Callithrix jacchus: one gene and its partners. The protein of the gene in region 1 interacts with the protein of each later gene in a biochemical or structural test. Links are inferred from orthologs where the notes say so. Each region holds a gene or a part of one and is shown on either strand. Other genes may lie near its edges.

Evidence for each region.
Region 2: the proteins of NFYA (region 1) and ZHX1 form a complex in vitro, tested with the Homo sapiens proteins (2 studies listed by BioGRID). The link is inferred for Callithrix jacchus from reciprocal best matches to the Homo sapiens genes NFYA and ZHX1.
Region 3: the proteins of NFYA (region 1) and SP1 form a complex in vitro, tested with the Homo sapiens proteins (2 studies listed by BioGRID). The link is inferred for Callithrix jacchus from reciprocal best matches to the Homo sapiens genes NFYA and SP1.

What each region holds. Positions count from the first base shown.
Region 1 is NC_133505.1:49,571,529-49,575,078, forward strand, and holds part of NFYA (nuclear transcription factor Y subunit alpha), read left to right. Parts: intron 1-805; coding exon 806-952; intron 953-3,550. UniProt on the Homo sapiens protein: Component of the sequence-specific heterotrimeric transcription factor (NF-Y) which specifically recognizes a 5'-CCAAT-3' box motif found in the promoters of its target genes.
Region 2 is NC_133517.1:74,097,235-74,101,458, reverse strand, and holds the start of ZHX1 (zinc fingers and homeoboxes protein 1), read right to left. Parts: upstream 2,801-4,224; 5' UTR 2,439-2,800; intron 2,274-2,438; exon of another isoform or gene 2,195-2,273; intron 1,694-2,194; exon of another isoform or gene 1,538-1,693; intron 1,404-1,537; exon of another isoform or gene 1,278-1,403; intron 579-1,277; exon of another isoform or gene 531-578; intron 1-530. UniProt on the Homo sapiens protein: Acts as a transcriptional repressor. Increases DNMT3B-mediated repressive transcriptional activity when DNMT3B is tethered to DNA. May link molecule between DNMT3B and other co-repressor proteins.
Region 3 is NC_133510.1:66,168,782-66,172,944, forward strand, and holds the start of SP1 (transcription factor Sp1), read right to left. Parts: upstream 2,801-4,163; 5' UTR 2,767-2,800; coding exon of another isoform or gene 2,760-2,766; 5' UTR 2,573-2,759; coding exon 2,389-2,572; intron 2,317-2,388; exon of another isoform or gene 1,871-2,316; intron 1,402-1,870; coding exon 1,250-1,401; intron 951-1,249; coding exon 1-950. UniProt on the Homo sapiens protein: Transcription factor that can activate or repress transcription in response to physiological and pathological stimuli.

The DNA of each region.
Region 1 (3,550 bases):
AAGTTTGTACACTTGACTGCTCTGTGTAATTTCAATATTTGTTGTTGCTTCTGATAAAGCTAAAATAACCATGTGGATATAACAGAGGCCAGTGTGAGGAATTCCACCATAGAGACTACAAACTGACCAGAAAATATTTTTAGGAAATCTTTAGTAGTGGGCTCTTTCAACAACAAACCTATCTAGAATTAACAGAGTAAAATGAGCAGGGTAAAGGTATACGTTAGACATTTCGTTTTAGCTTGAGAGACTATAGGGAGAAAAGGGTCATCCTCTACATTAGCTTCCTTACAGAGCTGCTTGCTGTCCAGCCTCTTAGAGTCATTGCTGGGTAGAGTTTGATTTACTTCCTTCACATTATTTAAAATTTGTACTCAACCACCATCACCACCATCACCTCTCCCTCTCATTCCCTCCTCTCCCAGCCTTCACTAGAGACCATTTCTGGATTGGTTTAAACAGGCAACTAACCTTGCCATTATGATTAAATGTTTGTCAGTGACAAATGTTTATATCTATTGAGACTTCTCAAAGTTCAGTGACAAATGCCTTATATCTATTGAGACTTCTCAGAGACTCTGGATATACTCTATTATGTCTGACCTTAAAGTATTGAAATTGGCATGTAGTAACAGATATCATAGATACTTAAAAATAACTTAAGGACTTAAGACATACTTTCTTAGTGTCTTTTCTATCTTTTCCTTCTCTAGCAAGGCAGAAGAATAGTTCCAGTGATTTTCTTTTGGTAAAAACCAATTTGTATCTTATGTTATTTCATTGTTCTTATTTTATTTCATTCTAGGTCCAAGGGCAGCCATTAATGGTGCAGGTCAGTGGAGGCCAGCTAATCACATCAACTGGCCAACCCATCATGGTCCAGGCTGTCCCTGGTGGACAAGGTCAAACCATCATGCAAGTACCTGTTTCTGGAACACAGGGTTTGCAACAGGTGAGTAGTATTAAAAAATGTTGAGTACTATATCAGATGAGACGTTTCAAAGAATAGATTGTTACAAACTGATCATTGATGTTGCATTTAACTGCTTCCTGACCCACATTTTGCATTTAGTTGATTTTCTGCTTTTGTAGTTAGTACCAGTGATACAAACTAGAACTATGCAGAAATTGGACAGCTCCAGTAAAGATTAAGATATTAGGCATGAGCTTGAATTGCTATAAAGTATGTAAAGAGGTTAGAATCTAGTTTATAGTATATTTTATTTTAAAAGAAGCAAAAATGAATATTCTTAGAAAGTTAGAAAAATAACAAAATAAGCAAAAATGTGTCAATTAAGTAGAAAACTGACATATAGAAAGGGTAAGTAAAATCTAGATTGTTTAAACAGACCAATAAAACAGGTAAATCCAGTTGAAAGACGGATTGAGAAACACAAAACAAAAGTAAGCAAAGATGTAGAAGAGATTAAAGGAAGGTCAGGCGGGGTGGCTCATGCCTGTAATCCCAGCGATTGGGGAGGCCAAGGCAGGTGGATCACTTGAGACCAGGAGTTCAAGACCAGCCTGGCCAACAGGACAAAATCCCATCTCTACTAAAAATACAAAAAACTGGTGTGGTGGCACGTACCTGTAATCCCAGCTACTCGGGAGGTAGAAGCATGAGATTTCTTGAACCTGGGAGGTGGAGGTTGCAGTAAACCAAGATTGTGCCACTGCACTCCAGCCTGGGCACCAGAGGAAGATTCTGTCTCAAAAAAAAAAAAGAAGAGATTAAAGGAAATATGTGGAAGTGTTACATACAACACTGTGGCATCAAATTTTAAAAATTAGATATATCTCATCAGGATGGCAAGAACCAAAAAGAGTCACTATATCCACTGCTAGGATGGATGTAGAGAAAAAGAATTAATCATTATTTTTGGTAATTTCAAACGGTGAAGTTATTTGGGAAAGGCATCTCACTATCTGTTAAATACAATGAACACTTGAGCTAGCAGTTACACTTCTGAGAATCCTATAGGAAGAAAAGCATCAGTACTAGGGAGACATTACAAAGACACTTGTCATAGCATTGTACTAGCAAAAAATAAAATTGTAATCTGAGTGTCCATTAATAGAATAAGGAAATGGTTGGAATAAATCTTAATATATTCCCATATGGACTACTGCATCATCATTAAAGGAAATGAACTATGGGCTGGGCGCAGTAGCTCATGCCTGTAATCCTAGCACTTTGGGAGGCTGAGGCAGGTGGATCACCTGAGGTCAGGAGTTCGAGACCAGCCTGACCAACATGGAGAAACTGCATCTCTACTAAAAAATAATTAGCTGGGTATGGTGGAGCATGCCTGTAATCCCAGCTACTCGGGAGGCTGAGGCAGGAGAATCACTTGAACTCGGGAGGCAGAGGTTGTGGTGAGATTGTGCCATTGCATTCCAGCCTGGGCAATAAGAACAAAACTCCATCTCAAAAAAAAAAAAAAAATGAAATGAACTATTGAAGTGGGTGGGTTAATATTGAAATATTTTTAGTGAAAATAATTTGCAGAGAAATAGTGTGTGATCTCATCTTTGTAATTCATAACCAAACCCCCATGAGTATATGTTTATAGACATGGAAAAGGGAGTATGAGGGAGAACTATTAGCTTTTTACTCTACGTAAATCTTTATCTTGTTTCAACAGTTATCGCAACCACATTAACGTCTTAATTTTCTGGAGGAATTTCAGTTGAAAAAAGCAACCATGATCACACTGCTTATAAATCAAACTTGTGCTTTTTACGTATTCTCTTGTGTTTTTATCATAATTTTTTGGCATAATTGTACCATGCATGCGAGGTTGTTTCATTGTTGTTATTGTTGGTTTTTTTTTAATTCTTTCATAATGTTCAGTCAATTTGATGAATCAGAATTTCTAATTTATAAAATATAGTTAAGGATTTTGGTTTTCATTTGCTTTTGTTGGTAAACATACTTGGGCATGATAGTTTTATTTTTCAATTGAATTCTCAGGGTAATTTCTTTGGATTGGGGATTGCTTGGCAAAGGGTAAGAGCATATTTGAGCCCATTGGCATATTTTTGCCAAGATAGAATTATAGTTGGGATTAAAAATAGTTTTTCCATTTCTCCATGCATGAATATATGAGGCTTTAAATATCTTCTTAGCATGTGCTTTCCTCAATTTCCCATTGCTACATCCTTTCTGTTCCTCTGTCTTTGCTTCTGTTCTTCTCTCCAGCCCTGCTTGCTGTGCCGCCTTCTCCACTGTTCAGTAGAGACAATGTGGTATAGTTAGAAATAGTATACTGTGAGTGTAGTGATCCAGCTTTCATCACCAGGTCTGCCATTAAACAAGCATTCTAATCTTGGCCAAGTTATTTAATTATCTGTTTGCTCATCCAAAAATAAAATTTATATGAGATGACATCTAGGGTTCATTCTAGCTCTAAATTCTGTGATTTTTATAGGGTTTTATTTTGCTATAAGGAACCTTGAAAGAGTTGTTTATTTCCCTGCTTCCAAGTAGGGCTATAACTAACTGGGCAGAAAAATATATATTCTGTTACATAAATAAAGCTCTAGGTGA
Region 2 (4,224 bases), on another chromosome or scaffold:
TTCCCTGTTAAAAACAACTCCTGCTCGTCTTCACTCCCGACAGAAAAACAAATGACTTTTTCAGAATAATTTTTCAGCAACAAAGATAATTAATGTAGCACCATATAACACAAATCAAAGCTTTCAGACGAAGATTGAGACACAATGACCAATACTAACAAATCTAAAGAGCTCTTATATATGAACACACACACACAGCCCAAATCAAATATTCACTGTTCCCTGGGGGGAAACTGCTGCTTCTTCCCTAACCGTGAACCGCTGTATATTTTCCAATTTTGTGATTTTTCCTTTCTCTGCTATCACATTAACCTCCAAGAGAATTGTTTCTTTTAAGTTACATGGACTCCCAACCTAAACACATCACAACTCTCTCAGCCTTTTCTTACATTTTCTCTCAAAAATTAGCTCTTCACATTTTTTTTAATAGCTGGGCTGAGTTGACAGAAAAGAGCTGTGGAATTCCTGCTGTCGGATATCGTCCCTGTATCCTCTTTTCTGATCCCTAGTCCCTGTACTAATTTCCCTACCTGCTGTCTCTCATTGACGACTTCTCAGCTGCTGAATCCTTCACTAACCTAAGTTGAGGATATCAAATGGAATATTTTCCTTCTCAGGGGCTATGCTCTTTCCTTAGTTACTCACAGAGGGGAAAGAAGGACAGGAAAGGTACTAAAACAAAGAATTGCCAAGTCCCTTTACTTCCAACTTTGGTGTAAAAATATAAGGAAAAGACATCTGCCAGGGCTCTTCTTTCCTGCCCTTAGACCTCGTTCCTCTCACACCTCCTTCCCAGCCCTTTATTTCCCTTGAGGAATTAGTAGATCGTTCACTGTGAGCCCTGAGGCTTGGAGGATTCCCCTGGGTCAGCCTCCCCACACTTCCGCGCCCCTACCATCCTCTTTAATTAACTTCTGCCTAAATCCCAGGGCTTCCTCACAATCGTAATTGGGTTAAGGGCTCAACTCCCAGCCTTTCCCAAAGTTGGGGCACGGCCTGGCCCCGAAACGGGTGCGTACAGTCTTCCTTGAACTGGAGGTATAGACTTCTCCCGAAGGGTTTGCTGGGGCTCCAACCTCAGTCAGTGCGCTCAGCTCCAGTAAGAGAATTTCTCCTTACTCTCAGGGAGACTGAGTCCCCACGAGGCCGCCACACTCCCCCGGAGGACAGCGCTCCAGACCTCCCCTAGGACTCCCAACATCACTGGGGTGCTCCCTCCCGCGGCGCCCTCCGCAGTCTTCACTCCCCTCAACAATCCTAAGTTACTCAGTCCTCACCAAGGCAGAGGGCTAAAATTTTCCCTCAAGAGAAACCCCCGCCCCCAAGCTCTTTCGGCGGCGGAGACATTCAGAAAGAGTGAGGGAGGCTGTGGGTCAGTTCCTCTGCGGCGACTGCCCAACCGCGAGGCAGGCCCCGTCCCTCCCCCTCAGATGCCCCGCGCCGGGTCCGCCCCGCCACCCGCCGCAGCGAGCGGGCTCAGCCCCGGGGGTCTCTGCTTTGAGGCCGCCCTCCCCACGCCGGGCCCCCCGCCACTCGCCTTTCCCGTGCCGGCCGCGGACTCTGAACTCCGGTTCCCACCCGCAGCCCGGAGTCTCCGGGCCCGCTGGTCGCGGAGCCGGCTCGCGCCACTACCTGCAGGGGCCGCCGCGCCTCTCAGCGCCACGCCGCCGCCATCTTGCATTTCAAACCGGCTGCACTTTTCAGGGAGTCAACTCTGACCTGTGAACCCTAAACCCGGAACCGCTCGGCGGGCCCGAAAAGGGGCCTCAGCAGGTCCGTGGCCCGCGGAGCGTGGGGACCCAGGGTGGGGGTGCGAGGAGAGGCGCGCGCCCCAACGGCCGTCCGGGGGCGGAGGGGGAGAGAAGAGAGCCGGCCGAGGCAGGGCCCTCCACCGTGCGCGTCCTCCACGCGCCCCCACCCCGTACGGCGCCGGCCTCCCCAATCCCAGACCCTGCTGTTCCACTGGGGTCTGACCCCGACCCCTACCCCGGGGATTGGCGCACCGCGGGAGGTAGGAACCGCCCCGCCCCCCTGTCAACGAAGCCCCGCCCTGGGCTGAGGAGGCTCCGCCCCCTGTCAGGAGAAGCTCCGCCTTCCCAGGGCTCTAAATGGCCCCGCCCCTTGCCGGCTACCGCTCCGCCCGCTGTCGACAGAAGCCTGGTCTTCTCTCTGGTCTACACAGAAGGCAGCTTGCCTTCTTTGCGCTCCGCCTTCCTAATGTTACTGCTGGATTGTGAGAGGTAAGCATGCTGCCTTCCACTGAAACGCCCCTTATCATCACACGCCCATCCCCCGGGGCTACACGACCCAGGCCCCGCCCCTTTGGGCGGAAGCCCCGCCCTTAGGAGGCAGCTGCGAGTCCAGCCCCGAGCCGCGCGCCTTGTCAGAAGTCGCCGCGCCCCGTGTCAGCGGCAGCTCCACCTCTTTTCGCTACGTACCTCTCTCCTCTGCGGGCAGCAGCTCCACCCGCAGACACCAAAAGTTCAGTTCAACTGCACTCGCAACCGCCGGCTCAGGCGGAGCCACTCTCTGCCCCTCAGACGCCCTCCTCTCCGCTAACAGCTACTCTCTCTTCCGGAGGCTTCTTTCCGAGTCGAGGGCTTCACATACCGACGGCTTCCAGGGAACCAGCCCCGCAGCCGGGCCAGCGAGGTCCCGGGCTTTCGGAAACACCGCTTGGCGTCGCCGCCCCTCGCCACCTCCTTTTCCTTTCAGCCCACACTGCCGTCACAACGCAGAGGGACATAACCAAAGCCGAGAGCAGCGACCCACCCTCCAGCGGCTCCACACGCCGGTCCCTAGACTCTCGAGAGCTCCTGGGCGCCTTGACTTTCACTCCCCGCCCCCATCCCAGTCGGGGACCCTTTGTGCTTTGACAGCAGAGCTCCGCTGAGCCACATTAATCCTAAAAGATGGAGTTGCTTCAAGTGGAAGTCTGATTTTTTTTTTTTTTTTTGAAACGGAGTCTCACGATGTCGCCCAGGCTGGAGTGCAATGGAGGCGCGATCTCAGCTCACTGCAACCTCCGCCTCCTGGGTTCAAGCCATTCTCCTGCCTCAGCCTCCCAAGTAGCTGGGATTATAGGCGCCCGCCACCACGCGGGGCTATTTTTTTGTATTTTTAATAGAGAGAGTGTTTCACCATGTTGGCCAGGCTGGTCTCGAACTCCTGACCTCAAGTGATCTACCGGCCTCAGCCTCCCAAAGTGCTGGGATTACAGGCGTGAGCCACCACGCCCGGCCATAGGATCCAGTTGTTGAAATCAGGGTTCTATAATGTTCTTTTTATTTGTATATTTCATCTTAGAATCCTAAAACGTATGTACAATGAAGCTTAATGATCTTATAAGTAAAGGTGTTCAACCCTGCCACATTCAATGCCCTGTATTGACAAGAAAAATTATAACACTGCTTTACTCTTGTGGAGTTAAATTCCTAATGCAAATACCTCTATAAATAATTTCAAGAAACTAATGTGATGTTCTAATAAAGGTGAAAAAAGAGAAAGTCGTTTATAATAAAATACTGTATGTACTAATATCAAGAAAAAATTTAAAATAACAGTTTTCACAATGCAAATACTCTGACAATAGAATTGCAAAACAAAAACTGCCCCCGCAAAATTTCAATATGCCCCCAAGGGGCAGTACTGCCCTCACTGGGAACCTCTTCAGGAAATGCTTCAGATAGATTCATTCTTTTGTCTACACATTTAGTGACTAGTTTGTGTGTGTGCCGGTATATACCAGGCACTGTGGGTATGTACAGCTGACTTAGGCAACATTCCTGTCTTCCAGGAACATGTGGTCTACTAGCCAAGCAAAAAACAGGAGCATAAAAATGTCTCAAAGTGGGCCAGGCGTGGTGGCTCACGCCTGCAATCCTAGCACTTTGGGAGGTCGAGGTGGGCGAATTGCCTGAGCTCAGGAGTTCGAGACCAGCCTGGGCAACACAGTGAAACCCCATCTCTACCAAAATGAAAAAAAAAAAATCAGCCAGGCATAGCCACCTGCACCTGTAATCCCAGCTCCTTGGGAAGGCTGAGGCAGGAAAATTGCTTAAACCCAGAGGCAGAGGTTGCAGTGAGCTGAGATTGAATTACTGGACTCCAGCCCAGGTGACAGAGTGAGACTCCATCTCAAAAAAATAAAAATAAAAAAAGTCCCAAAGTGAAAGGTGAGAAGAGACCCCTTTAGGGACATGGAGCTGTTGACTGTAACTCCAC
Region 3 (4,163 bases), on another chromosome or scaffold:
TGGATGTTCAGAGCATCAGACCCCTGCAGCCCACTGACCCTCTGGGGTGTCTGGCCTTGAGAGTTGGTCCCTGATGATCCACTGGGAGCAAAGTTCATAATTCCCATGTTGCTGGTGGTAGTAGTAGTTGAGTAGCTATTGGCATTGGTGAAAAAGGAGCTGGAACTGGGTTGTGATGACACCAAGCTGGCAGAACTGATGGTAGTCCCTGAGGTGACAGGCTGTGAGCCACTCTCCTGGGACCCAGAGCTGCTGATCGTGACTGCCTGAGAGCTCGGAGTCAAGGTAGCTGCAGAAACGCTGTTGACAGGTAGCAAGGTGATGTTCCCATTCAGGGCCACTGGTACATTGGTCACATACTGAGTCTGTCCTGAGAGTACATTATTAGCTAGGCCTTGGAGGGGGACAGCCTGCTGGAGTAGGTTTGGCATAGCAGCAATAATGTTGCCTCCACTTCCTCGATTTGTGATAATCTGTTGGTTTGCACCTGGTATGATCTGTATTTGACCAGAACCATCCTGCTGCACTTGGGTCCCAGTGGCAGCAAATTGCAGCTGCTGCCCATCAACAGTCTGGAACTGTGGGATTACTTGATACTGAATGTTAGGCATCACTCCAGGTAGTCCTGTCAGAACTTGCTGGTTCTGTAAGTTGGGAGTGGCAGCCACAACATACTGCCCACCAGAGACTGTGCGATTCTTGGAAGATTCATTGCCACTGCTGCCATTGGTACTGTTGCCACTCTGTTCCTTTGAGGTAGGGGTAGCCCCAGAGGAGGAAGAGATGATCTGCCAGCCATTGGCACCCTGTGAAAGTTGTGTGGCTGTGAGGTCAAGCTCACCTGTTCCCCCTGACTGACTTGGGCCCTGGGAGTTGTTGCTGTTCTCATTGGGTGACTCAATTCTGCTGCAAGTTGCTGCCAGCAGAGCCAAAGGGGATGGCTGGGACTCCTGGCCGAAAATAAGGGAGAGGAAAGGAGTTAGTGACACCCAGCTGCCAGCCTAGGGGGCAGTATACAACAAATAAAAAGCAACGTAGTGCAGACAAGGAGCAAAAAGCAGAAACAAAAAGCTGACCTATCTGTATTGCTGAAACTCCTGTCTTTGGGGATCTCCAATCTCTGTGCTTACTTCCTTACCTATAAACTGGTTTAGTCCCTCCCTAAAAAGCTTTCTGTGAAGAGTAAGGCAACTATCTAATAATATTTACATCCTCTGAACACCTTCCCCACTCTGTGATGATCACTTACCTGCCCTCCTCCTCCAGTGCTGCTGCTACTGCCTGTGCTGCTGCTGCGAGCCTGTGAAAAGGCACCACCATTACCATTGCCCCCATTATTGCCACCAACTCCTTTCTCAATCTTCACCACAGCTGTCATTTCATCCATGGAGTGATCTTGGTCTGAAAGTATTAAAAAACAAGCAACTTAAACTGGAGGGAAGAAAAGAAGTAGGAAGGATAAAAGGAGGCTATGATGAAACAGCAATGACTAACAGGAAGGCAAAAGGCGCCAGTATAAAGAAAATGGATTAGAGGACAGAGGGGAGCTGCAGGGCATGCAAGACATGAAATAGGCTCAATGGTGCCAAAAGTGGGCCTCACTTCTCCCTTGCACAAAATTAAACTAAGAAAACATTCAAAAAGTGCTTTGGGAATAGGAAATGTGAAGGATGGTAGGCATGTTGAAAGAGTTTCAAAATGAGAAAAAGTATCCTGGGGGAAACAAAAGAAAAGAACAGGTAAGGCAAAAAACAACATGTGGGTGGATGGAAAGCTTGCTAAAATTAAGGTTAAAAGAGATGGAAAGGCCGGGCGCAATGGCTCACGCCTGTAGTCCCAGCACTTTGGGAGGCCAAGGCAGGCAGATCACCTGAGGTCGAGAGTTCAAGACCAGCCTGACCAACATGGAGAAACCCTGTCTCTACTAAAAACACAAATTAGCCGGGCGTGGTGGCGTATCCCTGGAATCTCAGCTACTCGGGAGGCTGAGGCAGGAGAATCACTTGAACCTGGGAGGCAGAGGTTGCAGTGAGCCCAGATCTCACCATTGCACTCCAGCCTAGGAAACAAAAGCAAAACTCCAACTCAAAAAAAAAAAAAAGAAAAAGAAATGGAGAAAGAAAAATCCAAGTGTGAAAAGTAACAAGAGGAGAGTGAAAAGGGAGGGAAAAAAAAGTAAAAAGTGTGAGTAGGAAAGCATTTGTGAATACTGATAAGGGACTAAAGGGGTCTACGGATTAGTAATCAGGAGGTTTCGGGGCGGAGGGCGGGCCCTCAGGGAAAGGGCGGTTTCGGGGTGAGGGGCGTGGAAAGGGCGGGACGGTGGGGGGGAGGCGAAGGGAAATCTACGGAAAGTGGGGGGAGGAGGGCCTTGGAGCAGGGGCGGACCAGGCCGGCGGTTGGCCCGGGCGGGGCCTTCACTGCTCGGGCCGCCCCCGCGGCTCCAGCCCACGGCGGGAGGAGCCTTAGGCTGTCGGCCGAATAGTGGGGGGTAAGGCCCGTCCCCCGTGGCCGGGGCGGGCAGGGGGCGGGCGAGGCCACGCTGCCCCCTCCCCCGGGGCGGGCGGCCCATCCCCCTCCTCCTCGGAGGCCCCGTCACTGCCCCGTCTCCCTCCCTTCCCTCCGCCCCGGGCGGGACCTAGGCCTCCGCCGCCGCCTCCCGCCCGCCCCCCCCTCCCGGCGGGGATCGCCCGGTCGGCCCTCGCGCGCGCCCCCTCATTCCCCTCCCACCCCTAAGCTTGGAGTGGACTCATCCTTACCGCTCATGGTGGCAGCTGAGGGACAAGCTCAAGGGGGTCCTGTCGGGGGGGGTTGGGGGGGGCCGGGAAAAACGCGGACGCTGACGAGGCAAGCGAACCCGGACCGGACAGGGAGGGGGGGGGTAAGGAGGAGGGAGCAGCGCGCCACAAGCCCAACCTAGGCTCCGCCCCTTCGCTGCTGCCCCGCCCAATGAGGGAGGGGGAAAGGAGGGACTTGCAGAAGAAAGACGGTGAGATAATCCAATGGCAAGAAAAGCTTGCTCTCTAAGGCGTGTATGACTAAGTTGCGTGCCTGGTGTCCGCCCAAAAAGACTGTCCTCTCAGTATTAAAAGCCAATGAAAGATGCAGGAAGTGAAGATGGGCGGGAACTGAAAGTGATTGGCTTCAAAAAAAACCAGTCAACCGGCAGGCGGGCTCCCTGAGACGTAGGGATAGGGAAAACTTTGATAGGAATGACAGAACAACGGCCAACCAGAGTCCGGGATGTGCTTGGGCAAAATCCTAGTGGGAGGAGAGGTAAGAAGTAGGCAGGAATATAATAGGATGAAGCTGATTAAAACCAATCAGAAATCAGGCGGGCAGCCAGGGAAGTTATGATTGGATTAAGACTGAAAAGAGACAGGAAAGGACGCATATTGACGTGAACTAAAAGCCAATTAAACGCCGAATTAACTCTGAGGGCGGAAACTTGGAGCGGGCAGAGGAGAATTGGCTGCTCCCTCAGTTATTCAATCCAATGAGGAGACGAAGTAAGCCTGGCACCGCCTCCTAGTTGGCCAATGGGAGTTACTGGAGCCGCCCATCATGAGGGAGGGAAGAGGGCTGTGCCAAGAGGAGACCGTCGCCATATTGGCCCTCTTCGGGGGACGTCGTTGCATGTATTTAGTTGGACGCTTTAGCGGAGCCCTGCGGCTCAACAGGCGTTGGAGCCAAGGCAATCGGCGCGCAGTTCTGCCTCAACACCAGGACTTGTTTGAGTCTTCATTTAACTGTCCCTATGAATAACGTACCTCTCAAATCTTAAACCCTCCCGGGGCGGGCAGACAGGCAGTCAGATGCATCATCTCGCCGCAAGCCTTGCTAGTGCAGGCGGGAGATCTGGGAACAGCGCTCACCAAATAAGTTAATACTGAGCTGACCAATATGCAGAGTCTCCGTAAGAGTCGAGAAAACGCCATTTTATTAAGTTCCCCCAGACAAAGGCTCTAACCACTTACGGCTGGTTAACTTTTCAAGAGCTTTGAGGCTAAGGTGCAAATAAGTCACTTCCATTTTTCTCCCTTAATAGTAAATACCGCCTGTGCATAAAGCAAGATAGCTGAGCTCCTGCTTTTTGCAATCACGAAGGTTAAGAAACTTTACTGCAGGCACCTGGATTTCCGGCCTCCACTTGTATCCTTGTT